Elephas maximus indicus: one gene and its partners. The protein of the gene in region 1 binds, or shares a complex with, the protein of each later gene. Links are inferred from orthologs where the notes say so. Each region holds a gene or a part of one and is shown in the gene's direction. Other genes may lie near its edges. The genes, in order: STX5, STX7, STX18 and BET1L.

What was found.
Region 2: STX5 (region 1) and STX7 share a complex: the UniProt entries of both Homo sapiens proteins name them as parts of the SNARE complex. The link is inferred for Elephas maximus indicus from reciprocal best matches to the Homo sapiens genes STX5 and STX7.
Region 3: STX5 (region 1) and STX18 share a complex: the UniProt entries of both Homo sapiens proteins name them as parts of the SNARE complex. The link is inferred for Elephas maximus indicus from reciprocal best matches to the Homo sapiens genes STX5 and STX18.
Region 4: STX5 (region 1) and BET1L share a complex: the UniProt entries of both Homo sapiens proteins name them as parts of the SNARE complex. The link is inferred for Elephas maximus indicus from reciprocal best matches to the Homo sapiens genes STX5 and BET1L.

Annotation. Positions count from the first base shown.
Region 1 is NC_064825.1:125,978,745-125,986,074, reverse strand, and holds the start of STX5 (syntaxin-5), read left to right. Parts: upstream 1-4,441; 5' UTR 4,442-4,445; intron 4,446-4,666; exon of another isoform or gene 4,667-5,022; intron 5,023-5,111; 5' UTR 5,112-5,130; coding exon 5,131-5,355; intron 5,356-6,348; coding exon 6,349-6,419; intron 6,420-6,587; coding exon 6,588-6,643; intron 6,644-6,759; coding exon 6,760-6,830; intron 6,831-7,330. Other genes in the region: WDR74 (WD repeat-containing protein 74), read left to right, coding at 1,774-1,874, 1,966-2,021, 2,339-2,484, 2,622-2,678, 3,216-3,392. UniProt on the Homo sapiens protein: Mediates endoplasmic reticulum to Golgi transport.
Region 2 is NC_064819.1:201,524,756-201,532,256, reverse strand, and holds the start of STX7 (syntaxin-7), read left to right. Parts: upstream 1-4,498; 5' UTR 4,499-4,806; intron 4,807-7,501. UniProt on the Homo sapiens protein: May be involved in protein trafficking from the plasma membrane to the early endosome (EE) as well as in homotypic fusion of endocytic organelles. Mediates the endocytic trafficking from early endosomes to late endosomes and lysosomes.
Region 3 is NC_064823.1:156,987,097-156,994,472, reverse strand, and holds the start of STX18 (syntaxin-18), read left to right. Parts: upstream 1-4,364; 5' UTR 4,365-4,468; coding exon 4,469-4,636; intron 4,637-7,376. UniProt on the Homo sapiens protein: Syntaxin that may be involved in targeting and fusion of Golgi-derived retrograde transport vesicles with the ER.
Region 4 is NC_064825.1:138,017,409-138,024,286, forward strand, and holds the start of BET1L (BET1-like protein), read left to right. Parts: upstream 1-3,875; 5' UTR 3,876-3,977; coding exon 3,978-3,996; intron 3,997-6,280; coding exon 6,281-6,372; intron 6,373-6,620; coding exon 6,621-6,677; intron 6,678-6,878. Other genes in the region: RIC8A (synembryn-A), read right to left, coding at 308-399, 823-1,413, 1,482-1,529, 1,908-1,991. UniProt on the Homo sapiens protein: Vesicle SNARE required for targeting and fusion of retrograde transport vesicles with the Golgi complex. Required for the integrity of the Golgi complex.

The DNA of each region.
Region 1 (7,330 bases):
TGAGAGGACATTGGGCTGGCAGTGTAGAGAACTAGGTTCTGGGTTCTGATGCTGCCTCTCGTTTGCATTGGGGCCCAGGCCCTCTTCCCATCTCTGGCCTCAGCTGTACATGAAGGGCTGGACTGGGGAACATGACAGTTATTTCATTTGAAGTCCTAAGACCCAGACAGGGCTGGGCCACTGTTTTTTGCCCTGTTTCCTTCACTCCTGCATATTTGAAGTCTAATCTTGGTGATATGCCTCTGCTCAAAACCCACAGGAGGGCTTCCTCTCTCCTCCCTTGTTCAGGCTGAATTTCTCTGCTTGGAATTCAGCACCTTCTGACAATTGAACTGACTTGCTTTTCCATCCTCCTCCCCCTACATGGGCAGATTGCAGGGAGGGCATGCAATGCTGACCGTGGCAGTGCTGCCCTATTCCCCAACCTAGGGGACCTGTCCCTCAGCCCTGTCCATTTATGCTTCTAAGTAAGCTTGTACCTCAGTTTTCACAATCCTGCTAAAAAAATGTTCTAGTAGCGCCTGAAGTCCTCTAACTTCAGGAGGAGGAGACAGAATCACCATCAGCCCAAAGCTGATTCCTATGAGGTGGAGGTCAAACATACCCCCCTCTCCAACTTCTTTACCATTTCCGACACCAGCCAACCGCATCCCCTCTTGCCCCCATGGCGCACTCTGCTTCTCTGCGGGGTTCCGTAAGTCATTGGAACAGCCACACAACTCAGGCCATACTTACAGTTAAGTGGTTTACTAAGGAAGTAACAGGATATCAGAATCAACAGGCTGCAACTTAGGATCAGGATCCGGAAGCATGTAAGCAAAGTCTAAAAGACGCCCCTGAGGTGGAAGGCACATCACTCCCTTCTTCAGTGTAAATAGCTCCCGGCGCCTCTTGGCCATGCAAGCAAGCAGGCCCTTCTCTCTGCCATACACGCCCCCTCAGCCATGCACGCCTCTTTGCCTTTGGCCACCCTGCTGTCAGCCTCTCTGCTGCTAACTGATCCAGCTTATAGCCAGTGTAAAAGCTTTGTTCAGCTTAGCTGCATTCCTAGCTGAAGGTTTCTGCTGTCATTTTCAACTCTCCCCCAGGGCCAACCTGGGCCTGTTGCCACTGGCTGTGTCGCAAGACCCCTTCTGGGCTTCTTGATGCCTTCAGTGTTACAGGCCTTCACCTGTGTTACAGCTCTTTTAGGAGGTTCCTCGCCTCCTGTCTGCTGCTTCTCTCTTGCCTGTCTTGTCTTTTCTCCCTTCTGAAACCTCTGTGGGTTTGGCCACTTATATAAGCAAACTCCTTATCAGTTTCAAGGTATGGCCCTCCCGGCAGGGCCACAGACTAACCAATCCCCTTTGTGGACCATAGTCATTTGATTTGCATAGTCTGTAGTCACTTGATTTGCATAGTATATTGATCAGTCCTTACAAGGTGCATACCTATCACAGGATAGGCTACAGCCCAGGACCAGACAAGAAGTATCAAACCAAGCCGTTTACAGTTTACCCAGGAAATGTTAGTCAACATGGACAGAAGTAGCAAACCCTTAGGTAGAAAACCAGGGCAAAGGTAACCCCTCAGGGCTTAGTGGAAAAATCTCAAGCTGTTTTTCCTAAGAACCAAGGCAAAAGGCCACATAAAGGAACTTATTTCACCACACCTGCCCACCTCACAGGTTGGTCTGAGACTGGGTCATAAACAAACAGCACAGGAAGATGTGGAGAAGCCCAAGGAGGGTGTGCGGGCTGAGGGTACTCTTATGATGACTCAGTCTTCCTCCAGGTCCGTGTCTATGATCCAGCCTCCCCCCAGCGCCGGCCAGTCCTTGAGGCCACCTATGGAGAATATCCGCTGACAGCCATGACCCTCACTCCTGAGGGCAAGTAAGTGCCTGGAGGGGTAAAGGTGGGTGGCGGGGGCTCAGGGACGGCTCCGGGAGGTTCCTGCTGACGCACTTGCTTCTGGTCTCTTCAGTTCGGTGATTGTGGGGAACACGCATGGGCAGCTGGCAGAAATTGACCTTCGGCAAGGTAAGTGGACTAGAGGGTGAGGGTGGGGAAGAAGGCAGAATTCCTTCTGAGGCAATGCAATGGAGTGGTTGTTAGCTCTGTTCAGGTGCCACATTGCCTGGGTTCAAATCCTGTTTTCACCAAAAGCTGCTGGCCTTGCCAAATTACTTCAACTCTCTGTGCCTCAGTTTCCTCACGTGTAACATGGAGATATTACTGGTAATTCCTGTCTCTGAGTTACATTGAGGACTAAATGTTGAGATGTAAAGTGATCAGAACAGCAAACAATACGTGGTTGTTGGCTGGCCAGCTAACACTGATACCCCTGCTGTCCCCAGGGCGCCTCCTAGGCTGTCTAAAGGGGCTGGCAGGCAGTGTCCGAGCGTTGCAGTGCCACCCTTCAAAGCCCCTGTTAGCCTCCTGCGGCCTGGATAGAGTCTTGAGGGTGCACAGGATACGGAACCCACGGGGTCTGGAGCATAAGGTGAGAGCCCGAACCTTTGAGCCTTGCCCGTTCTGCCTAGTTCACAGTTCCTGGAGCCCACTGGCACCTGTGCCCCCATTCATTTTTCCATCTACTTCAGCATGCCTGGGCTCCTTAAGTCCCCTCATCTTTTGCAGGTTTATCTCAAGTCTCGGCTGAATTGCCTCCTTCTGTCGGGCAGGGACAACTGGGAGGTGAGCTACTGGATCTGGGAATGTGAGAGCAAAGGGCATGTATGTGAGGATTTCCCTCAGAGAGAAAAAAGTGGCAGCTGGAACCCAGATCTGGAGCTGTCCACTTGCCTGCCAGATTATTTCATTTCTCTGACAGGTTTTAATAGTCAGCCCTGACAAAGTTATTGCCAAGAGTGACATGTCTAAAAGCATGGACCGAATTGGTGTCCCGGGTGCAGAAAATAAAGATGATGGTGGTGGTGGGATTATCTTCCCACTAGGGCTTCCACAGAGGAGCCTTGGTGGCACAGTGATTAAGCACTGCGCTGCTAACCAAAAGTTCAGTGGTTCAAACCCACCAGCCACTCCTCAGGAGAAACGTGTGGCAATCTACTGTAAAGATTACAGCCTTGGAAAGCCTATGGCAGTTCTGCTCTGTCCTCTGGGGTCGGTATGAACTGCAATCAACTGGTTGGAATGGGTTTAGTTTTGGCTTAGGGCCTCCTTGTGGGTCTGTTACTTTGCCCCTGATTCTTCAGCTTTCCTCCCGTTCACCAGGATGAGCCCCAAGAGCCTGAAGAACCCGACAGGGTGTCCCCAGAAGACACAGAGACGGATGAACTTTGGGCTTCCTTGGAGGCGGCTGCAAAGCGGAAGCTCCCTAATTTCAAGCAGAGCCAAGGGGCCCAACAAGCCAGGCAAAGAAAGAAGAGACCTAGATCCACCAGTCCCTGAAAACCCTGTACCCACTTTGTAAATAAACATCCCAGCACCCGCCATGACCTGAGCCTTTTGTGATGGGAGAAAGGGAAGAAGTGGCTTGGGATAGGAGAGCTGGGGCGGCACGATTTCTGACGTCACAAAAGCCGGCGAAGGGCCCGCGGGGCGGGCGGGTGGGCTGGCGGGGCTGGCACGGAGTGCGGGCCGCGGGGGGCCATGGGCTGCTGCCAAGACAAGGACTCCGATGAGGCCACCAGGGAGGCCGACTCCGTGGAAGGTGGGAGCAGAGATGCAGAAGAGGGGGACAGGCACGGGCGCGGGAGAGGAGGCTGCCCCAGCGGTATGGCCAGGGAGGTTGGACAGGGGATGGTAAAGCAAAGCTCAGCGGCCTCGTGGACCCCCTAGGCACCGAAGGGACTGATGCCACGGACGCCCCGAGCCGCCGGAATCGCAAGTCGAGCGAAAGCCTTCTGATCACTGTGCTGTGGCGGCGGCTATCCCTGTTCAGCCGTCGGGGCTCCTCACGGTCGAACAAGAAGCATTCAGGCCAGAGTCAAAAGCCGGGGAGTCAGAAGGCGGAGAACGCCCCGGAGAGGATCCAGGAGGAGTCAGAAAAGGGGTGACCCCAGACCTGCTCTCAGTTCGCCCCAGCCTCCAGAGAATAAAATTTCTAACGCGGACTTGCGCGAGCGCTTACTCTCCACTGCCACTTTCGGAGCACCGGGCGACGGCACCACTGGGGCTGCGGGCTCTTTAAGACTCCTACCCTAAGGTTGGCCTAGCCCCCCGGTGCTCAAGGGCTCCCTCCTCTGGGGCGGGGTCACGGTATCGGCCTAGCCAATGGGACGGTGAGGTCACGCCTACGCTCGGGCAGGGGCGTGTCTGCCGGGTCGCCGGGCTTGGAAAAGCGTGGCGCCGCGCTGTCGTCACCAGGGGCGGGGTTACGTGTGGGTGACGTGGCGGCTTCCAATCTTTGGCCGGGTTTCGGCGGCTTCTGCTCTCGGGGAGGAGGCAGTGACGGCCCAGGAGACTGTGGCATAGGCAGCGGCGGCCGGCGGCAGTGAGGAGGTAGGATTCGCTTTAAGAGGGGGTCCGGTCGCCGTGTCAGCTCCGGGACAGCGGCTCTCTGGGGGCGGCGACGGGGGGGAGGGGAACAGGGGACGAGCCGGCAAGTCTTGCCGGCCCGGGGGGGGGGGCGGTGAGCGAATGCTTGACCGTCCAATCAGGAACGTTCCTGTTGAGAAAGACGTCGATATTAGCTAATCAGTGGTTGCAATCCTCCAGGAGGCGGAACTTGGGCGGGGGGTGGGACTTCCTGTTTCAAATAAACACTTAGAGATTCCCCCCTCCGCCCACCGAAGTGTGTCCCGGTCAGGAAGTCCGTCACCGTTTCCCCCTGAGGAGTTTAAGGAGCCCAGGGGTACGGGACGGCCCAGTTAAGGCCTGGGGCAGCTGCACCTGCCGAGCTGTAGCCTCAGGGCCACGGGACGTGGCTCTGGCCCTGGCTGCGCTCAGGGCCCCAGGCCCGCGCCCTGGCCGACCGAGCCAAGTTGGAAGAAGGGTCTGAGGAGGGGACAACTTGAGCCGGGAAGGAAGCGGGGCCTTCCCTCTGCGGGCCGGCCTTGGGCGCGAAAGTCCGTGCCAGGTGCAGAAAGGGCCGGAGGATTTGCTGGTCGGGGGGAACTTGTGGGGATGGAGGCTGCCTGGGGAATGACACTCTGCCCTCCACAACAGTCCGAGGTTATGCGTCTCAATGATCCCGCGGAAACGCTACGGATCTAAGAACACGGATCAGGGTGTCTACCTGGGTCTCTCAAAGACACAGGTCCTGTCCCCTGCAACTGCTGGCAGTGGCAGCAGCGACATCGCCCCTCTGCCCCCCCCAGTGGCCCTAGTCCCTCCCCCTCCCGACGCCATGTCCTGCCGGGACCGGACCCAAGAGTTCCTGTCTGCTTGCAAGTCCCTGCAGAGCCGTCAGGTAAGGACCTGGAGTGGGAAAGGCGAGAGGTGAGCCGTAGTCGGTGGGGAAGTGGGCTGCAGCACTGTTTGCTGAAGTAGTTCTTGGGGGATCCTTATGGCAGGCTCATGTGTGGGGCTGTGGGATCTACTAAGCAGCAGAGAAGATGCAGGTTAGCTAACTGGAGGCAAGGACCTTGACTTCTGTGAAGAACCCCCTGAGGGTAGGGCTGTTGTTCTGGGAGGAATCCCTCAGGGCCAGAGGTGGCTGCACTGTATTTGATTTGGATAAGTAACAGGCTCTAGCAATACGCTTTAGCTGGGAGGCATGCACCTTGAATTCTGGTTCCCACGTAGTTCTAACAGAAGTTTGTTTTGTGACCGTGAGGAAGTTAATTACTATTTGGACCTCAGTTTTTCTGTCATTAAAATGAGAGAAGTTTTCTAGATCAGTGATTTTTGTCAGAATTGCTTTAGAGTGTCTTTTAAAAGGCAAATTCGTTTGTCTAAGTCCAGATTCCTAAATCCAAGTGGGATCTGGGTAACTATTTTTAAGTATATTTCGTGTTCAGCTCTTGCTAATAGCTGCTCATCCACATGATCTCCAAACCTTCTAGTTATACTTCTCTTTTGATTCTGAGAATAGAATGGCAGTACCAGCTACCAGTTTAGTATTTATAATATGCTCAATATTTGTCTAAAATACTTTACAGCTTTTTTGTCATTTAGTTTCAGTAACAATAATAGGAGATAGGTGAATTGTTTTCCTTTTAGAGTAGAGGAAACAAAGACTCAAAATGGTTTAAGTCTCTCAGCTAATAAGTGAGAGTCAAGCTTTGAACCCAGATCTACTTGTCTTTAATCTGAGCTCTTAAACTACTACTGCTGGTAAATCTAGGCTATCTGATTAAGGAGCTCATCACTAGAAGGAGTTTAGTGGGCATCTGAGGAGCAGTAAAGTCTGGAAATGAGGAAGGGAGAGCTAAAGTTGTCACCTCCTGACATTGCTTTTCAGAATGGAATCCAAACGAACAAGCCAGCTCTGCGTGCTGTCCGGCAGCGCAGTGAATTCACCCTCATGGCCAAGTGAGTCGAGAGAAGCGGTGTGGTGGTACGCTCTTGTGTCTGAGCAGAAGTGGGCTTGCCTTTGATAGGCTTGGCTGTGAGGACTGGGATTGGCTGTGCTGGAGCTGATGCGGGAATAGGCACTCTCCTGCCCTTTCTTACAGTGCTCTCACTAATGCTCATTTGCAGGCGCATTGGGAAAGATCTCAGCAACACATTTGCCAAGCTGGAGAAGCTGACAATCTGTGAGTGTTTTGGGGGACCCTTTTGTGGTGGGGCAATGAACCAAAGACATTGGGGAGCCTTACTCTGAGTCCTGTTTCTGACCTCACCTGTTGTGGGTTCTCACTTGTCCCTGCAGTGGCAAAGCGCAAGTCCCTCTTTGATGATAAAGCAGTGGAAATCGAGGAGCTGACATACATCATCAAACAGGTGAGCTACTAGCCATCGGTCAGATCACTTCCATCATTTTCCATTGCTGTGGAAGCCCAGAGCAAGTTTCTAGAGCCAGCCCCAAGCATCCTACTCATCCATTGAGCCAGTAGATACTTTTGGATAACCTACAAGGTACAAAGGATTATGCTGGGCACTGGTGACAAAAACATGAGACAAGATTCCTTATTCCTTATTCAGGCTTATTGTCTAGAAGAGGTATCCAGCCCCATGAACCCATACTTACAGTGAGTAGGAGTCAAGTGGTACAGAAAAGAGCTTACAAAAAGATCAGTGAGACCCGTTGGGGGTGCTGGGAAGGATTTTATAGCAGAGATGAAATCTGAACTGGTTTCAAGTCTTGTGTAGCAGCAGTGGAAGGACATTCCAGACAGAGAAAACTGTGTATACAGAGGCATGGCTTAAAAAGGGAAAGTTCAGGAATAAGACATGCCTTCCAGTTTTTGCTCAGACGTTATCTGCTCACGAATGCCTGCCCT
Region 2 (7,501 bases), on another chromosome or scaffold:
TGGATTCGAACTGTTGACATTTTGGTTAGCAAATGTAGATTGTTGTGGCTTTTAATCACTGTGCCACCAGGGCCCAGAGGTGACATTAAAAAAAAAAAAAAAAACACACCAGTGCCATCAAGGTGACATGGTGACATTAGCATTTGTTAAAGGAACATTTTGAGCCCTACTAGGTCCAAGGCACCTGGCTGAATTTCACTAAGTAGCAGGCAGAAACGCCTTTAGAAGACATGTATCCTCTAGTCCTCTGAATTTTGCAGGGTTCCCTGTACTTTTTTTCTTTCCATTTGAATACAAAGAGGTAAAATCTCATTTTTAGTTTTTCAAAAGACCTGGAAAGAATCCACTCATAACGTATTTTAAAACATGGGAAATTGGAACAAGCCCAAGAAGAGGAGTCAGACAGCTGAGATTTGTCCCCAGTTCAGTCAGAAGTTAGCAGGATAACCCAAAGAGGCCACTTAGCCTCAGGTTCTTTTTCTATAGTGCTTAGTACCTTCCTCTCCCACAGCCCAGGGTTCTATCAAAGGGACCAGGAAAGGATGTTTGGGAAGTGCACTAGACTTCATGTAGATGTAAGTTGCTTCATGACATTTTCTCGAATGATTGAGATACTTCTTCCTAAGTTTACCAAAGACTTCCTAATTCTCAAGTGCACGACTTTCAGTTCTTCGTTTACTTGAACTTTCTGTGATATGTGACATCATCACAGACTATTCCCTTTTTGAAATGCATTCCTTCATTCTCTACTTTACTTTTTCCTGATTTATTTCTGATCTCTCTCATTACAAATCTTTGCAGGGTTTCTCTTTCTCTGTCCATACCTGAAACATAGGTAGTTCATAACATCTGACCCTTCAAGTTAATGAGCTCATCTCTTACCATAGCTCCAACCAGGACTCTATTTTGAATTTAGCTCACATTTTCAAGTGCCCGATGACACTGGGCATGTCCTACTGGATATCGCATCCCCAGAATCTTTTTTCACTGTTGTAAAAATACAGATAGCATGACATTTGCCAATTCAATATTTTTCACGTATATGATTCCATGACACGAATTACATCATTCCCCAGAATCTTAAATACAACACCTCACTTCACCACTCCATCCTCAAACTGCAATTGCTTTCTTAGTAATCTTAGATTTTAGATAACTACATCATATTCACCTCAGTTTTGCATGTCATAAGAATAGGAGTTATCTCTTCATTCTCCATATTTAGTTGATTTCCAAGACTTCTTAAATATTTCTCAAACCAATCTTCATTTCTTCTCCAATGTATTTGCCTTACTGCAGTCCTTGAATATCTCTAATACTAAAAAAAAAAAAAAACTAATACTAAAAAAAAAAAAAAATACTAAGGAGACTCTTAATAAGGGAATGTTACTATTACAACAGCCTTCTAAGTGGTGTCTCTCCACCTTCAGTTCCCTTTAATTTTCCCCACTTCTCCAGAATTTTCTTTGTAAAGTAGAATTATGAGTGCATCACACCCTTGATTAAAATCCTTTAATGGCTCAACTTCTATTAGATCGTCATTTAATATAATACAGAAGCTTTTCATTACCTAAGCCCAAATTGCCTTCCAGATTTCCATCTGTTATGGATTGAATTGTGTCCCCTGAACAATATGTTGAAACCTGAACCCCCGTACCTGTAAGTAAGGCCCTGTTTGGAAACAGGGGTTTTCTTTTATTATGTTAATGAGGTCATACCAGAGTAGGGTGAATCCTAAATCTAATTACTTCTGAGTGGTGTTTTATAAAAAGAGCAGAATGGACACAGACACGCAGGAGGAAGAGATCATTCAAGGAGTTGTCTACAAACCAAGGAACGCCCAGGGCTACTGATAAGGAAGCACTTTCCCTTAGAACAGATGGCCTGATTTTGGTTTCTAGCTTCCAAAACCATGAGGAGATAAATTCCTGTTCTTTAAAGTCACCCCGCTTGCAGTATTTTTTGTTATGGCAGCACTAGGTAACTAAGATATAATCTGCTATGCTTTATCTAAATAAATTTATGTATAGATCCCTAAAAGTTTATGATTACCTCTGATTTCATGAACATTTATATGCTCTTCCTTTTGCCTGGATGTCCTTTCCCTTCTTGTCTTCCTAGTGAAATTTTACACAACTTTTTTTTTTTCAAGGTTCTGCTGACAATTCTTTTTGGAGTCCTCTGTACCCACAGTAAGGCACCTCCATTTCTGGGCTCCCACTGTGCTTTGTACAAATCTCTATCATATCACCTTTTTACAATGTCCAGGGAAGGATCTCATTCTTTGAGCTCCCTGAGGGGAAATACTATATCCTATTGATCATGATATCCACTGTGCCTAGCACAGTGCCGGACACCTGGCAGGCTCTTGGTGAATATTTGCCAAATGAATGATGATGGAAAGAACTCTAGACTCTGAAGTAGGCTATAGGGACCTGTGCTGCTCAAAATTATCTGTGTGGCTTTAAGTTTCTTTGGGTTTTAGTTTCTTTAGTCTGTGAAAAGAGGAAGTAGTGCTAGATTTTCTGTAATGTCTTTTCCACCTTTGATACTCTAAGGTTGATGTGGTTGTCTGTTATAGAGGTTGACCACCACCTGTCTCTCAATTTGTTGTGCTGTGGTAGTCTGCGTGTTACTATGATACTAGAAACTATGCTACCAGTATTTTAAATACCATCAGGGTCACCAATGGTGGACAGGTTTCAGTGAAATTTTCAGACTAAGACAGTCTAGGAAGAAAGGCCTAATGATCTACTTTTGAAAGTTAGCCAGTGAAAACTATATAGATCAGAACAAAATATTGTCCTACTGAACTCAAACATGCCAACGATTGTGGAGAGGGCACAGAATCTGTCGACATTATGCTCTGTTATGCATAGGGTTACCATGAACTGGAGCCAACTTGATGTCAGCTAATAACAACAAAGAGGCTGAAACACACACATTTTGTCTGATCACAGAATGTTTTATGAAAATTAGGAATACTGGAAGGAGAGATTTCACATAAAAATCTGAATTTCCATCATATCTTCTGAAAAATCAGATAATTGGACAATACTGGTCCAATTTTGCTGAAAGGCTGTAGTTGATTCTAGCTGAATCATGCTGTCCCTTTGGATGGGGTGTGTGCTTTCTCCTTAACCAGCATGCCCACCTCTCCCTATTTCACCCACCTCTTCCTATTACCCCTACCTCATTGAGGCAGTATGTAAGTTGCTGCTTATTATCCCACTTTTAAAGTAGTTTTCTTTACTAAAGATGAGAGAAAAAACATTTCTTGGACCTATTCCTCTGTCAAAATGAGAAAATGAGGAATAGACTGAGATACTTGATGTCTTAGCCCTGACTGACCTTACTAATTTATGTATATTGTTTTTACATATAACAGGAAACCCTGGTGGCTTAGTGGTTAAGTGCTACAGCTACTAAACAAAAGGTCAGCAGTTCAAGTCCACCAGGTGCTCCTTGGAAACTCTATAGGGCAGTTCTACTCTGTCCTATAGGGTTGCTGTGAGTCTGAATCAACTCAACGGCAGAGGGTTTGGTTTTTGGTTTATATGTATAACATGGAGGCCCTGGATGGGGCAAAGGCTTAAGCGTTTGACCACTAACAGAAAGGTTGGTGGTTCGAACCTACCCAGAGACACCTAGAAGAAAGGCCAAAGACCACAGCTTTGACAACCCTATAGAATGCTATTCTATTCTGTACACATGGGGTCACCATGAGTCCAAATCAACTTGAGGGCAACGTTTTTTGTTTTTTGGTATGTAAAACACCAAACACAGCAACCCTATGTGTTACAGGCTAGTAACCTTTACGCAGTAGTAATCTTTATACAGATAACCAGGCCTTTTATTCTATGGTACCAATGGGTGTGTTCAAACCGCCAACCTTTAAGTTAGCAGTTGCCATGAGTTGGAATAGACTCCACGGCGGCAACTAACAACAACAAACACCAAACAATCTAGAATTTTTTCAGGTAGTACCAACCCAAAATGTTCTGTCCCCCCCCCCCCCCCCACACCCAAATCTGGACTTTAAATATCATATATCCTGATGATCCTTTCAGGAACTATCATTGTCTTAATATAGGGAAAGGCCAAGCCAATTTATCTTCTAATTAATGCAGTGAATTATTTTTTTTTCACCTGAAGCAACTGATGCATTGCATTATACTTATGTTTGCATATTTGTCATTAGAACATTCCCAGCTCTTTTCAAACCCTATGAAAACTGCGCCTGACCTTCAAGAATGCTTAGGATGGCTTGTCTGTACAACGAAAACTTGGTTACTAAGTGAGCACACCGAAGTGGCTCTTCACTTACTCTTTCATCGTTCCCGCTAGGTTCGTGTAACGTGTTTCGACACCTTCACGGGGCTGTGAATACGGGTCTATTACCGGTTAGGAAATAAGCATGAGCTGATGGGGCGGGGTGAAGACACGTGTCCAGGAAGACTGGCTTCGCCAGATAAAGAAGACAGCTGCCCTCCACGTCCTCCCCTTCTTTTTTGCAAGCAGGCTAAGGCGTTCATCATCAGTAAGTCAGGCCGAATGAAACACCTCCACGCCAGTGTTGCTGGTACCCCCGCCATTCCTTAGCTCCTAACCAGAAGGGGCGGGAGAGGGACGCTGTCACTCAGCCCCGCGGACCAATGGGAGAGAAGCGAGCCCCGCCTCCTTCCCTGAGCTGAGTTGCAGGCATGCGCATTGGACTTGCCAGCGCCACCGCCCATCAGCTGAGAATTGTAGCGCTCTGAGGGTGGGTGACCGTGTCCGGAGGAGGAGGAAGCAGAGCAGATCTGGGTAAGACGACCCCGGGGAGGGGACGCCCTGGCCCGGTGTCCCGGAGGCGCGGTGCCCCTGCTGCGGCTTCCGCGCCTCCTTGTTTGTGCGCGTTGTCAGGTAGCCGCCGCCCAGCGTTCTGCGGCGGCAGATCGCGAGGGTTGGGCCCGGGCTCCAAAATCGCCAGCTCCTGCCCACGCCCCCTGGCCCGGGGCGGCACACATTCCTGGTGTGCTCGGCCGGCGCCGCGGGGAGAGCAGGGGCGGCCCCGGCCGGCCCGGCCAGCCTGGCGCCCGCCGCGCTTCGCTGCATCCGGGCAGCTGCGCCCGGTCCCGCTGGCAGAGGCGCACTGGCGGGGCGGACGCGGAGCGACGCGGCAGAGCTCCGGCATCCAGGGACCGTCTAGACCAATACTTGTGCCTCCTGGAAACGCTTGGGCCTCTTCCTCTTTTTATCTCGGGGATTTAATCAACACACTTTAAAGTACTCTTCCTGAACAGAGAGGAACTGAAAAATATGTGGCTATAGTAAGCAAACCATGTATGTTTATTGAAGAAGCTCATCGTATTCGGTTTGCTATTTGGTTTGATGACATTGGTTGACACCCCAGCTTTCTTTGACCTTAATACTTGTCTTTAGCAGGTTTACTTAAAGACCTTTAAAACTACATAAAATATCCCAGAAATTTTTTTCCCCTTGTCTTCTAGGTAGCTTACTTTCTTGAAAACCTTTCTCTCTCTCTCTCTCACACACACACACAAATATACAAGAAGAAGAAGAAAAAAGCACATTGCCTTTCTGGTCAAATGCTGTATTTTTTCTTTCAGGTTTCTTACATTTGCTTGGCTCATATATTTACATTACTTTTTGTTTACTTCAGATTATTGTGTCCTGTCTATATAATTTCTTTTTTTTTTTTTTTTTGGTCTATATAATTTAAAACTTGCACGAAATCTGGAAGACAAGCACGTAATTATGAAATATTGTGCTGTTTAGTAACATAGATGGACACTTCTGCTCTGGGGAAGCCTGACCTGCACCTGGGCAGAGACTGGTCACAACAGTGTTAAACTGTGTCTTGTGACAGGTGGCTTTGCAGGCCACTTTGAGAAATTAACCTCCTACTTTGTTTGTGACTAGTTAAGAATTATGCTCTAGTTTCAAAGTTTCTGTGGAAGTTAATATGATACCATATTAACTCATTGTCCACATCATCTTTTTTCTTCAAACATTTTACTTCTTCTCCCAATAATAGTCAGCCCTATAAATTCAAAATAAAGAGGAAATGTTTGAATTTTGGTTATACCCTCAAACTTCAGCTAAGTGCCGGTGATCGAAAAGTAAATCATAAGATACCTTTGTAAGTCTCAGTAAAGTCTGTTGTGATTCCATTTAATTTGACAATTTAGTGTATGAAAGGGTAATCCATGGTATTATAAACTAAAACCAAAGAGTATAATAGTTCAGTGATAGAGGAGCTGAGCTTAAAGAAGTTGGTGGAACTCCTATGCCTCAGGTGCTGTGCATACCACAAGTCAAGGTCTTTCATATTTATATTCCAGAGGTAGGATTAGATAATAAACAGTATACTGATTAAATCATTTTAAATAGTGGTGAATGCTATGAAGCAGTGAGAGAGATTGACAGAGAGTGGCACAGGTGGTGAACTCAGGTCAGATGGAGAAGGTTTCTCTAGCATAAGACCATACTGATAAGAAGAAGCTCCATCACAGTCACATGGAGATCATGTGGAAGAGCCCTCTAGGAACAGGAAATGACCCTGAGCAAAGGCGGGAGGCAGCAGAGAGCCTGGGATGTATCAAGAGCTGCAAGAAGGGACTGGAATTCAGTGTCTTAGAAATAGTAATATTTACCCTCAGACAGAGTGTGTGTTCCTATACTTCTCTTCATTGATTCAACAAATATTTATTAAGCACTTAATTTGTAGCCAGGTACTGAGGATAGAGCGGTCCCCAAAATAGACAGCCCCTCTCCCAGCCCTGGAACTTACATGTTATGGCATAGGGTGGAAGGACGTCCAGTGCTTTTTGCTGGTGCTCACAATTAGGAACATGAAACTCACCATTTCAATCCCTTTGCTTATGATAAATTTAAAGAGCATGAAGGTTTATGGTTAATGCAAATCAAGGATTCTACAGTATGTCCAGTAATAACTGAGGGTAGTGTTTGACATGCAAGATTCTGTTATAAAATTTCCTTTGTTCTTTGTGCTCTTTAGAAGCAGATGAGAAGACTCACTATGTTTATTGCACTTTGAGCCTCCCTCCCCTTATTTCTCTTTATAGTGTTTTTATATCTTCAGAGAAAGATAATTTTTGCGGTATCTAGATGAGCGCCGACTAACAGAACTTTCTGCAGTGATGGAAATGTTCTATACCTATGCTGTCCAATTCAGTGGCCACTAGCCACATGTGGTTATTGGACACTTGAAAGGTGGCTAGTACAACTGAGGAACTGAATTTCTCATTTAACATAATTTTAATTAATTTCACATAGCCACGTATGGTTAGTGGTTACTTCGTGGGACAATGCAAGTCTAGATAATGATTATATACTTGTTATTCTGAGTGATAATAGTAAGTTGTAAAAAAAAAAAAAAAAAGGGCTCCAACTGTAAAAATGGTGTGGCAGCAGTATTGTTGTCTGACCCCATCATCTCACTTCACAAGGGGGGTGAATCAGGATTATCAGCCCA
Region 3 (7,376 bases), on another chromosome or scaffold:
TGATCTTCTATTCTTCTTCCTCCTCCTCTCTTTATAAACCTCATTGTAATTGGTTTGCTTTGAGCCACTTGCTTTTTTTTCCAGAATCTGAATGGTCTTCCTATATGCTTATAGAATAGCCTACCAGAATAAACTTTATATTTCAACTACACTGAACTTTGATTATTTTTGAAGAATGAACAAATCTGTCTTGGAAGAAATACAGCCAGAATACTCCTTAGAAGCTAGGATAGCAAGGCTTTCACTTACTTCAGACATGTTATCGGGAGGGACCAGCTTCATCCCATTATACATGGGATTGCTTTGAGTTGGAACCTACTCGACAGCACCTAACAATAACAATGCTTTAAGAACCAGTTTTAATACATATACTAATTGCAAGAAGGCACAAATAGTTAAGTGCTAGACTAGTTCTAGCCAAAAGGCTGTAGGTTCAAAGGCATCCAGAGGTGCCTGGAAAGAAAGACTTGACAGGTGATCTTCCAAATGTTCACAGCCTTGAAAACCCTATGGAGCAGTTCTACTCTGCACACACAGGGTTGCCATGAGTCAGAAATCAACTCGATGGCAACTAAAAACAACAACATAGTTGTGCATCCTCTTTAAAAGAATAAGCAAACCTGCTTATCAATGAGGTCTTTAATTAAAACTGGACCTCGAAGCAAAGAAGGAGCCTTGGTGGTACAGTGGTTAAAACGCTCAGCTCTTAATTGAAAGGTCGGCAGTTTGAACCCACCGGCTACTCCCTGGAGAAAGATGGAGCAGTTTGCTCCCATAAAGACTTACAGCCTTTAAAACCCTGGGGGGCAGTTCTACTCTGTCCTATAGGGTCGCTCTGAGTTGGAGTCGGCTGAACCGCAATGTGTTTGGTTTTGGTTGGTTGAAACAAAATTCAGAAAAAATTAACTGGCTGATGTCTTAGTTCTCTAGTGCTGCTAAAACAGAAATACCACAAGTGGGTGGCTTTAACAAATTTATTTTCTCACAGTTTAGGAGGCTAGATGGCTGAATTCAGGGCTTCAGCTCTAGGGGAAGATCCTTGTCTCCTTTCAACATCTGTGGGCCTGGCATTCCTTTGGAGATCTTCATGTGCCTTGGCATCTATCGTTCCGTGAGTCTAGCAGGTTCTCAGCACAGGGGCCCCAGGTCCAAAGGATGTGCTCTGCTCTGGCTCTTTTTTCGTAGTTGTGAGGTCCCTCCCTTTTCTGCTCACTTCTCTCTCCTCTTATTGTTGCCAGGAACTCCAGGTCCTGCTCGATGCAACTCATCAAAGCCAATAAACAAGAGGCTGAGGTGGGAGATCAGAAAGGCAACTTTATTTCCTTGCAAGGAAAGGAACAGTCGGGGCTGGTGTCTCCAAGACTATTCAAGGATAAAGTTTAGGGAGGTCGCTTTTATAGAGCTTACAAGCAGGGAGATCATGTGAATTACAACAGCAACATTCTAAATCATGCTACGGCAGGGGGTTACATAAAACTTCACAGTACATGTGTTTAAAGGCTGTAAGTCTTTATGGGAGCAAACTGCTCCATCTTTCTCCAGGGAGTAGCCGGTGGGTTCAAACTGCCGACCTTTCAATTAAGAGCTGAGCGTTTTAACCACTGTACCACCAAGGCTCCTTCTTTGCTTTTTTAGGGGTGGAAAAATTGGTACCTACGAGGAAATTAATGAGCCAAATTTAACTGTAGGTCTCTTGAACTAGTTTGAACCAGCACTCGGTGGCTTACTTGTCTTGCCTGAAAAAGAAAATACAAGCTCTGAGGTGTGATCTCCACTGTGGGATTTTTCCCACAGTATCAAAGGCTGCTGCTTTATTACTTCGTATAAGATAAAAGGTGTGACTCAAGCAAGGGTATGACTCAAGCAAGGGTGTGACTGGAGTAGGGGTGTGAGCTAAGTAAAGCTGTGACTCAAGATCCACCTCACACTGATCCTGCCTCATTAACATATAGAGGTTAGGATTTACAACACATCACAAAATGGAGGATAATTACATCAGGTTACAAAATGGAGGACCACCACACAACACTGCAAATCATGGCCTAGCCAAGTTGACACATACTGGGGGGAGAGGGGCAGACACAATTCAATTCATGACAGCTGACTTGCAGCCAACTTAAGCAAATATTATGACTTGAGTTAGCGATTGGTGACACAAGAGGCACTCTTTCATCCTTATATCCAGTTGATAAATTCCTACTCATCCTTCAAATCTCTGCTCAGGTGGTAACTTCTCTGTGATCCTCTTCCCCACCACAAATAATAAGGATAATATTAACAGCAGCTAATATTTACTGGAATTAGTCGATGTTCAACCATTTCAAGAGGTGGCATATGATCGGGAACCGATGGTGCTGAAGGAAGAAGTCCAAGCTGCTCTGAAGGCATTGGCAAAAAACAAGGGTTCAGGAATTGATGGAATATCAATTGAGATGTTTCAACAAACAGATGCAGCACTGGAGGTGCTCACTCGTCTATGCCAAGAAATATGGAAGACAGCTTCCTGGCCAACTGACTAGAACAGATCCATATTTATGCCTATTCCCAAGAAAGGTGATCCAACCAAATGCGGAAATTATCAAACAATATCATTAATATCACACGCAAGCAAAATTTCACTGAAAATCATTCAAAAATGGCTGCAGCAGAATATCAACAGGGAACTTCAGGCTGGTTTCAGAAGAGGACACAGAACCAGGGATATCATTGCTGATGTCAGATGGATCCTGGATGAAAGCGGAGAATACCAGAAGGATGTTTACCTGTGTTTTATTGACTATGCAAAGCCATTCGACTCTGGATTATAACAAATTGTGGATAACATTATGAAGAATGGGAATTCCAGAACAGTTGTGCTCGTGCTGAGCCTTTACATAGATTAAGAGGCAGTTGTTTGGACAGAACAAGGGGCTACTGATTGGTTTAAAGTCAGGAAAGGTGTGCGTCAGGGTTGTATTCTTTCACCATACTTATTCAGTCTGTATGCTGAGCAAATAATCTGAGAAGCTGGACTATATGAAGAGGAACGGGGCATCAGGATTGGAGCAAGACTCATTAACAACCTGCATTATGCAGATGACACAACCTTGTTTGCTGAAAGTGAAGAGTCTTAAAGCACTTACTAATGAAGATCAAAGACCACAGCCTTCAGCATGGATTACACCTCAACATAAAGAAAACAAAAATCTTCACAACTGACCAATGAGCAACATCATGATAAATGGAGAAAAGATTGAAGTTGTCAACGATTTCATTTTACGTGGATCCACAATCAACAGCCATGGAAGCAGCAGTCAAGAAATCAAAAGACGCATCTCGTTGGGCAAATCTGCTGCAAAGAACTTCTTCAAAGTGTTGAAAAGCAAAGATGTCACCTTGAGGACTAAGGCCAAGCCATGGTATTTTCAATCGCATCATATGCATGTCAAAGCTGGACAATGAATAAGGAAGACCAAAGAAGAACTGATGCCTTTAAATTGTGGTGTTGGCGAAGAATATTGAATATACCATGGACTGCCAAAAGAACGAACAAATCTGTCTTGGAAGAAGTGTGGCCAGAATGTTCCTTAGAAGCAAGGATGGCGACACTGCGCCTTACATACTTTGGACATGTCGTCAGGAGGGATCAGTCCCTGGAGAAGGACATCATGCTTGGCAGAGTACAAGGTCAGCGGAAAAGAGGAAGACCCTCAACGAGGTGGATTGACACAGTGGCTGCAAGAATGGGCTCAAGCATAGCAACGATTGTGAGGATGGCGCAGGACCGGGCAGTGTTCCGTTCTGTTGTGCATAGGGTCGCTGAGTCGGAACCGGCTCGACGGCACCTAACAACAACAACAACGACATTTACTGGTCACTTCCTAGGAGCCAGGCCACACCAAAAACACTTCACACGCCTTAACTGACAATTCTCACAACGACCCTGAGACGGGTCGGCTCCACTTTAGGGACGAGCTGCTCCATCCGTGTCCCTTGGACACTGCTCTGTCCCTGCCCTGCGACACGCACACTGTGACCCCCTGAGGTCAAAGGACAAGCCCGTTTGGCCTCCGCGTCCCCCGAGATTCGCCCGGCCCAGGCTCAATCAGGGCGGGAGCCACGAGAAAGGAACGAGCCGTCCGGCTTTCCGATCCTGCTGTCCCGGACCCATACTCCCCAAAGCCGTACACGACGGTCGGGGACCCAGAGTCACTCGGCGCGGCCAAGCCCGGGGGGTTTTCGGGGAGAAGAAAAGGACGCCGGTGAGCACTTCCAGGCAGCTTCCGGGATCCGCCCCGAGCGCCAGCGCGAGGCCGGAACCTTTCTCCTCGCTCCGCGGTAGCTCGGCGGAGGCCGGAACCTTTCTCCTCGCGCTGCGGTTGCTGGACGGAGGCGTGCGGGAGAGAACGGTCCTCTCGCAGCCGGGTTCGCAGCGCGTCGCCGGCTGCTGACGTGGGGGGCCCTGTGGGGACCGCGGGTGCGGGTCGCCATGGCGGTGGACATCACGCTGCTGTTCCGGGCCAGCGTCAAGACCGTGAAGACGCGGAACAAGGCGCTGGGAGTGGCGGTGGGCGGCGGGGCAGATGGCAGCCGCGACGAGCTGTTCCGCCGGAGCCCTCGGCCCAAGGGAGACTTCTCCAGCCGGGCCCGAGAAGTGGTGAGCTGGTTGCTATGGAAACGGCGGGCGGGAGCCGGGCGCGGACCCGCGGCGTGGACCCCTAGACCCCCAAAGTGCACCCGGTCCCGCAGGCATTGTGCGAAAGAAACGCCTGGAAGAAGGGGTCGCAGGAGGGAGCAGCCGAGCTGGCTTCTGAGAGCCGGCAGCTGTCTGGGGAAAGGAACGCCATGCGTTTGGGGAAATTAAGGAAGCCGATTTGTCTTGGGCGGAAGGAGGCGCTCGGAAACCTGCGTCTGCAGAGTTCCCGGGTGTGTGTGGCAATGACTTCGCCGTCACTGCGCCTGGACGCGGAGGCAGCTCCCCCGCAGCCCCCTGCTCCCCTGTCGCCTCGCCGGCCACGCTGCCATCGCCTCTTCTGTTCACTTGTCCCATCGTCCTTCCTCGAATTGAGATTAAAGGCCATGCCTGATTCAGCTGTCCTCTCCCCTCCCCTGGCCTCCTGCAGGAGGTTAGGGCACAAGGTAGATAGAATTCAGCACTTTTTTTTTTTTTTTAATTTATTGCGCTTTAGGTTAAAGCTTGCAGAGCAAATTAGTTTCTCATTAAACAGTTAATACACATACTGGTTTGTGACATTGGTTGCCAACCCCGCAACATGTCAACACTCTCTCTGTCTCCACCTTGGGTTCCCCATTTGCAATGGTCCAGCTTTCCTGTCCCCTCCTGCCTTCTCATCCTTGCCCCTGGGCTGGTGTGACCGTTTAGTCTCATATACATGGTTGAACTACGTGTATTATTGTTTGTTTTGTAGGCTTGTCTGATCTTTGGCTGAAGGATGAGAATTCAGTACTTCTTGAGACTGGTTTAGGATCAGCTTTCACAAACACTCCATGTGTCAGTCATCCAAACTACTTTCTGTTTCCTGAACACTGCAAGCTTTCCTCATCTCTCTGAGCAGGGACCTTCTCCTTAAGGGCAGGAACAGTGCTGGCTTCATTTCAGAATCCCCAATGCTTGACTCATAGCATTGCTTAGTAAATGTTGAGTGAATGAATGAACAGATGGTTGTCAGCCTTCCCCCACTAAACAGTAAACTCTGTAAGAAGAGAGAAAATGTTTGCCTTGTTCACTTTTGTATCCTTGGCACCAAAAATGGATCTAGTTTTTGTGGGGTCTAAAGCTCATACAGTTTTGTCTGCCCTCTGTGAGAAATAAAAATACAAAATTACAGAAAAAATCAGGTTTAGAGCTTTGGGAAAAGTATAAGTGAGGGGCCCTGATGTTTAAGGTTCTAATATCAACTTCACAGTAAATCCACGTTAGCTTGGCACGCAGTTCAATGCCTGGCAGTGTGTAGACACTCAGGTATTTTTGAATCAATGTATGCATGCATGAACCAACGAAGGGCAGTTTGCAGGGGATATTAAAGCATTAGAAGGGGGATTAGGCTAGATGAATACATTTAGTTCATTAACAAGCATCTTTTAAGCACCTACCTTCTAACCAGCACTGTGTTAGGGTAACACGATAGAAAAGGAGTGATGGCAGAGGCAGACATACGAACAAAACAAGTGCCATAAAACTTTGTAGGTGGTGGGATAGAAATATGTGTCAGGCACAAAGGAGAGTGTGATCAGTTCTACCTGAGGACCAGGAAGGGTTTTCTAGAGCCAGTCATGCCTGGAACAAGTCTCGAAAGATTTGGTTCCTGTTCAGACAGGTTGGGGGAGGGCATCTCAGGCTAAGAGAGCAGTGTGCACAAAAGCATGGAGATAGGTAACAGCCTAACATAAGTTGGTTCAATTAGTATTTGAGTGTGACTGGAATTCAGGACACCCAGAAAAATTCAACTGGAGGGGCAGGCAGTGGCGGATCTCAAAGGGCCTTGTATACCACTCTGCTGAGTGTGGACTTCGTCCTGTAGGCAGTCAGGTATTATGTGGTAGAAAGACACCCAAGAAGGAGCCAGGAGACCAGGCTGTTGGCTTAACCCTGCCACATTAGCCGCGTGATGCTGCTGTTAAGCAAGTTTTATGACCTCAGTTTATTTACCTGCAAATGGTGCCCTCCTTTTTTGTTCTTATTAAAAGAAGGCTTTTAAAAACTACAGTGATCCCTTATATATAACAGATCAAAGGGGGGCTTCTTGGATGGAAATGAGAGGAAGGGAAATCAAGACATTCTTCCTCCCCTGCCCCCAGTCAGGCCGAGGCCGTTCCTGGGTACCTCTGTGACTCTGAATGAGGCATTGATGGTTCAGTGGTAGGATTCTCTCCTCCCTTGCAGGAGACCTGGGTTTAATTTCTGGCCAGTACACCTCACGAGCAGCCACCACCCCTCTATCTTTGGAAGCTTATGTGCTGCTATGATGCTGGGTATATTTTAGCGGAGCTTTCAGACTAAGGTGGGCTAGGAAGAAAGGCCTGGCGATCTTCCAAAAATCAACCAATGAAAACCCTGTGGATCACACTGGAACACTGTCCAGTTCGCCACCACTTATGGGGACGGTGCAGGAGTGGGCATTGTTCCGTTCCGTGGTGCCTGGGCTGCCCTGAGTCAGAGCCAACTGGACAGCAGCCAATTACAGCGTTCCGACTCTCAGATCACTGATTCGTCAACACTGCTGATTCTGAGTCCTCAGGGAGGTGTCAAGACTTGGAGATCCTGCTAAGCAGGGACGGGAGCTGTGTCACTCGGAGCCGCTGTCCCTCCTGCCGTAGGGCGAACACGCACACTTCCGAGAACTGTGTTTTAACGTTGCAGTTGCTTTACGTGTCAC
Region 4 (6,878 bases), about 12 Mb from region 1:
ACTGATCCTGGTGGTGCCAGGAATACCCAGGTATTTCTGAATGGTGCTGCTGCCCACCTCACTCAGACAGGTGAAATCAGACTCTAGGGTGGGTCCCTTCTGCTCTCTTTGCCCCGCCTCCCGATCCACAGCCAAGACTGAGAACCCTGTCTGAGCATCCCCTTCCCAGCCAAGGCAGGCCCACATGCACACCACCCCCATCTACCTTGAAGCCCCACCCACAGCCCCACCCACCCACCTCAAGGCCCCGCCCACCTGTAACCCATACCCCACACCCCCACTTACCCACCTCAAGCCCCTCCCTCACCCGTGGAACTCCTCCGTGCGGTCGCCGGCAGCCGAGACCATCACACAGTGCCGCAGAAGGATCCCCAGATGCCGGTAACAGGCAGCATCATCCTAACCAGAAACATGTTCTTAGAGGAGAGAAGAACCCCACTCCCGTGCTGTTGCCAGCTAAGGCTCTTCCATCCACTGAGCCTACCAACAAGCCTAGTCCTGGGCCCTTGTCCTCTCCAATGTGACCTTTACTTTACTAACAGTGGGGCTAAATAGCCTCTACTCTTTTCCTAACAGCACTTTTCCAACTAAGAACGTCAACACAGTCCCTTGGGATGAAATCCTGTTTCCTCTCCTACCACATACTCTGGTTCCTGCTGGGCCTGGAGAACCAGAAACCACCTCCCCTCGCAGCCTCCCTCCAATGCCTTCCTTGAGGCCCCTCCTCAAAAGGGACCCTCCTCTTCTCCAAGAGGCAGGAACCCCAATCCTCTCTCATCTGATGCCCACAAAATCAAAGGCACCTGTGAGTTGAGCCCTCACCTCATCCACCTCCTGCTTGACCAAATCGAAGGTGATGTTGAAGAGAACTTTGAGGATCTCCATGGCCCGCTCTGTCTCCTGTGCAGGGAGGAACTCAGGGGGGCTCTCCTCTGGGGACGCCCCCAACGTCAGCTCCAGCGCATGGGTCAGCAGGCGCACCCCCTGCAGCTCCCGAAACAGTTGCTGGCGCACGTCAGTGCGCAGTGCCGTCAGCAAGAAGAGTAGCCGCAAGTCAAAGAACTGGACATCATGCGGGAAGCTCCGCTGCCCGGAGAGCCGCACACGCTCTGAGAGCCTTACTACCAGGCAGGCCTGGGCAGCCAACGCCTGTGCCGCGGGGCTGCTCAGCACGAGGTTGCAGAGGCACTTGAGGGCCTCAAGCACAATGTCCATGTCTGGAGACTCAGGGTCAGGTCCCTCGGACACGAAGATGCCAGCACAGCGAGCCAGGGCCTGCAGGCTCGGGCGGCTGGTGAACAGGTCCAGGCAGCCGCGGTCCCGGGACAGGATGCGAAGGCTCTGCAGCCAAGTGGCGCGTCGAGAGGGCGGCAGGCCCTGCTCCAGGGCCGACACCAGCAGGCCGGCCAGTCTCTGCAGAGAGAGGAGCAGCTCCACCAGGCCCGCCCCCGCCCAGCCCCCCACCCCCGGCCAGCACCCACCTTCCTGTCTTCCCGCTGCGCGTCCTCAAACGTGAAGCTCTCCGAGTTCTGCAGAGAGAGATCAAGGGATCACGACGTTCAGGTTCCCCAGCCGGGGCAGGACCGCGCCCGCAGGGGGGCGGCAGCATCGGCCTCGACTCTGAGCAGGCGGCTGGGCCCGGCGCCCCCACCCGCAGACGCCCCCCACCGCGCCCCCCCGCCCGCAGATGCCACCACCGCGCCCCCCCGCCCGCAGACGCCCCCCACCGCGCGCCCCCCCGCCCGCAGACGCCCCCCACCGCGCGCCCCCACCGCGCCCCCCCGCCCGCAGACGCCCCCCACCGCGCCCCCCCGCCCGCAGACGCCCCCACAGCCCGTCCCGCAGGCTCAGCCCCGCCGCGCGGCGCGCCCACCGTAGTGCCCGGCCCGTCAAAGGCTCGCGCTCACCTCCCGGTTGTACGTCCGCAGGGCCTCCATCATTGCGGCCTCCTCCCCCGCCTCCACGGCATTCGCAACCGCCCGGGGCTCCATGGCGTCGCTGGGACCGGCGCGGGGAGGCTCCAGTCGGCGAGCGGAAGGCCCTCGAGCCGCGGAGCCGACCCCGCCCTGCCTCCCGACCCAGCGTCACGCGCGCGGGGGAGGCCGGGACCGAAAGTGCGCGCGCCACGGGGAAGGCCTGGACGGGGCATGCGCGCGCCGCGGGAGGGGCCTGGACGGGGCATGCGCGGCGCCGCGGGAGGGGCCTGGACGGGGCATGCGCAGAGCCGCGGGAGGGGCCTGGACGGGGCATGCGCGGCGCCGCGGGAGGGGCCTGGACGGGGCATGCGCAGAGCCGCGGGAGGGGCCTGGACGGGGCATGCGCAGAGCCGCGGGAGGGGCCTGGACGGGGCATGCGCGGAGCCGCGGAGAGGTCCGGGTGGTGTTGGTGGCCTTGAAGTCGACTAGGCTACGAGACCCGGCTTGGTTATCGGCTGACCTCAGAGTCCGAGTCGCTCAGTGCAGAACCATGGCCCACCCCCCGACTGCTCCTTGGGCCAGAATTTCCAACAGGAGAGGGCCTCGTCCCCCCACCCGCGACACGCACACACTAACGCCCTTCTTGATCCACCGAACGAATGGGAGGGGGACAACCGAGGTGGAACTTTGTAGTCCTGGGGCCAATTGGTTTGATAAACAGGATTTTGTTGAGCTCCTATTTCATGCGAGGTGCTAGGGTCCCTGCCTTTCTGAAGTTCGTCTTCTAGAGAGGAAGACAGACCAGGAAAAACAAATGACTGGGCGGTCATAAGTGCCATGATTCAAAAAGCAGCCAAGAGTCCTGTGATCTCCAGTGCATGGTGGGCTGCAAAAGGCTCTGAAGAAGTGACCCTCTTGCTGAGACGAATGACAAGAACAGGGGCCAGGAAAAGGCCTGAGAGGGGTCGTTCAAGGCAGAAGGAATAGCTTGTCCAAGAGTGGGAATGACCGTGGTGGGATGGGGAAAGGAAGTTACCGTTGGAGCTGAGACGAGGGGGAGTGGGGAAGAGGTCAGGGATGAAGAGGGGAGCCTGACCGTGTGCGGCGATTTCCTCCATGTGTAACCCAGACCTGGTGCCCAGCCTGGACGCGGTTTTCTTTTTGTGTAAAACAGGAATAATAAAAGTGCCCGTCTCAATGGGTTATCATGAGGATTAAATGCATTTAAGTGCAAAGCACTCAACGTAGTGTTTCGCACACAGAAAATGGTCCGTAACGGTGGGTAACTTATAAATACGGCGCATCCACCCATCTATTCTTTCAATAAACATTGAGCATCTACTTCGTGCCAGGCCCTTTGTTAGGGACAAAGTTCAAAGTCCCCACCTATCACCAATACCCCTATTCCTTGCTTTATTTTTTCCACGATTCTTCACGCCTCTACTTTAACAAACACACAGAGCTTCCTCGGTGCAGGCACTGTCCTAAGCACTGTCAGCTCTGTAGATGCGAGCTGGTGTGCAGAGGTTAACCATCCCCAGGCCACACCAGGGCGATGCTGTCCCTAACGCGCCGCAGCTTTGGCTTGTCTGCAGCACTAGGACGGTGGGCGCCCCGGTCGCGGAGCCCGGCCCAGAGCGGAGCGCAGGCAGGCAGGCGGGACGCCACCCGCACCTAGCCTGTAAAAGCTGCCCGGTATTTACTGGCTAGCCTGGCGCTACGTTACTGCCTGATGCACCTCTGGTTGGAATAACCGAGAGAAGAGCCTTTCGGGGACCATGATTTGCCATTAAAAATAGAAGGCAACCAAGCGGTACCAAAAGCAAACAACCCCGCCGCGCCCCCATTTCGCGGGCTCTGAAGCCAACTTGAACTCACTTCCGCCTCCTTTCAGCCGGAAGTCGAGCGAGGCTCTGGCGGAAGGGGCGGGGCTGTGGCCGGTCGGGGCGGGGCCACGGCTCAGTGGGGGCCGGAAGCCTCTTCCGGTGCCCAGTGCCACGTCCGTGGAGGCGGCGGCGGCGGCCCAACCGGGGACCGAGGCCCGGGCCGGAACTGGGCGCGATGGCGGACTGGGCTAGAGGTGCGCGCCGGGAAGCACGGCTGTTGGAACCGGGGGGCGGGGCCGGAACCGGGGCAACACCGCGGGAGCGACCCCGCCGCGGCGGGCGGAGCCGGGGCTCCGGGGCCTCCCCGGGCGGGAGCGGGCCGCACTCCGCGGGCGCTGAGGGCCCTGCCGCTCGGTCCCGGCCGCAGAGCGTACCCCGCACCCACTCGTGCGGCGCCCAGGGCCCCTGGGGCCTAGGATGGGGCCTCGGACGGGCCACCCGGCGACTGTCCGAGAGGCTGGTGCGAGGACCCGTGAGCCTCCGAGTCGAGGCTGTGCGGTGGGAGGGTCCAGACAGGCCGTGTACCGACTCGGTGTTCCCGTCTGTTAAGGGGGGCTGTGTACCGACTCGGTGTTCCCGTCTGTTAAGCGGGGCCGTGTACCGACTCGGTGTTCCCGTCTGTTAAGGGGGGCTGTGTACCGACTCGGTGTTCCCGTCTGTTAAGTGGGGTTCTGATACCTGTCCCATTGGACTGTCCTGACGCGTAAAGGCGTAGAGAACATGAAAGATGCCTCGCACAATTGGCTCTCCTTCCCCGGGTGTAAAATGGTGTGGCGGGGCCTCTGACCTCCTCTGACTTCACAAGTGGGAAGGAGAAAGGTCAGCACCAGCAGCACAAGGCTGATTGCGTTGAGGTGGAGGTCAGACATGCCTCCACCCATCAACCCTTTTACCAATTCTGACACCAGCTGCCCCTCCCACGGCACTCTGTACTCCTCTGTTGGGTTCGATAATTGGTTGCAATGATCACACAGGACTCATAGACTCGTAGGTAGTTAAGGTTTGTTAGGGAAGTAATGGGTTACAATTCAGGATCAGGAACGCTCAGGATACAGTTCTGGGATCAAGACAGCCTCTTTGCCACAGGCCTTTCTCTGCCCCCCGCCCCCCCGCCTCTGACCTGTTCATCCAAGTGTTACAAAGCTCTTTTAGCTCTGCCAGCGAATACCTGGAGGCACCCCAGTCCGCCAGGAAGCCTTGTGCCGGAAGACGCTTAGCTCTCTGGCTCTGTGGGTGGGCAAGCCCACTGCACCGTCTCCTGCCAGTCTCCTGGTTCTGCTGCCTCTGCTGCCACTGCTTCTTGCTATCTCCAGTGTTAACAGCTCTCTCTCTCTGTCTTCGGGGTCCAGGACGTTCCCAGAGCAGGGATCCCGGGTCCAAAGGATGCGCTCCACTCCTAGCTCTTTTTTGGTGGTAGTGAGAACCCCACTCTGCTCTGGAATTGACTGCTTGTTTAAGTCCAGCTGGATGGCAAAACTGACCAGTCCCCTTATTAGGGTTTTATATACCTTATTAGCATGATCACACCTCCGTAGGGTCCTGTGCACCTTATTTGCATGATCAGTAAGCTATCCAATCGTCTTGGCAGGTCATAAGCACCTTATTTGCAGTTACAAAAACTGTTGACTAGAAGGGCCATATTAAGCGATTCACTGTACTGCAGCAGGGGTCTTTACACGTCATTCCTGTGGGGCTGTGCTGCACTCCAGTGGGTCACGTAGACGTCATTGACCCAGGTGCGTGAGGTGTGCGCGGGGCGACGATTCTCATCCACCCGCTGTGATGCGAATCCTGCATCTCCTGGCCCAGCCCCAAAGTGGAGAGTGGAAAATGGGTTTGTCGGGCCACAGGCAGTCACAATGGGGAGCAAACACAGTGCACAGACCCAGCTATGCCCTTGGGGTCAGGTATCTCAGCTCCTGACCATTCCCATGTGTGAAAGGCTACCCAAGGTCCCCGGCCACCTGTCACCTCTTCAGGACCCAGCTCATGGCCGCCCACACAGGAGCTTCCCTGTACCCTCCAGGGGTCCTTCCAGGTTGCTCTTGAGGATTGTCTGGTGAACATAAAGAACACACAGGCAGGTGTTGTGTCTTCCCAGTACCCCTGGGCTTGGTCCAGGTCCTGGCAGAGTCAGGTTAGAAAGTGCTGGTTGGACAAGCCCGTCGGGGGCACACGGGGGGGCGTTCCATGCGTCCTGCGCGGGCATGTACATGGGATGTGCACTCGCACGTTGTTGCACAGATTGTCCTATGGGAAAGACCTGCGGACCTCACACTGGAACCTAGACTAGGACACACCTGCCCAGCAGGTTAGGACCCACACCTGCCCAGCAGGTCACAGATGGAGGGGACTCAGGCCCACTGACATGTCTACCTGGGTCCAGTGGGATGGATGAAGGCGCAGAGAGTCGGCTCCCCGAGTTCCAGGGTTGGGGCTTCCACTGGTGATGCGATCCCTCCCTCTCTCTCTCTGCAGCTCAGAGCCCTGGGGCTGTGGATGAAATTCTGGACCAGGAGAACAAGCGGATGGCAGACCACCTGGCCTCCAAGGTCACCCGGCTCAAGTCGGTCTGTGCAGTTGTGGGCAGGACCTGAGGGAGGGCAGCCAGCTGGAGGGGGGTTCCAGGCAGTGTATCCCTCTCTTCACCCCATCCATGCTTACCTACCACACAGGTTCTGGGTGACACCTGACCTTGCCAGCGGCACCCATGTCCTGCCGGTTTGCTGGCAAGGTCTGGCTAGTCTTGCAGGGAGGGTGGGGACCGCCCACTCTTTGTGGCCCTGGCCTGAGCCTGCCTTCTCTGTGCCCTGACCAGCTGGCCCTGGACATTGACAGGGATGCAGAGGACCAGAACCACTACCTGGACAGCATGGTAGGGGCCTACAGCCTTCCCCACCTCAGCTGTGTCCCCTGCCCACACCCTGTGTTTGGCTTGTGCCCACCCTCCCGCATGGTCATCTCTGATCCCCACATACCAGTCCCTGCCCCGTACCCTCTCCATGCCTCGCACCCCGTAGTACCTGTCCTGTACCGCCATCCCTGCCCCCGTGCCCTGCTCTGTCCCCCCACCCTC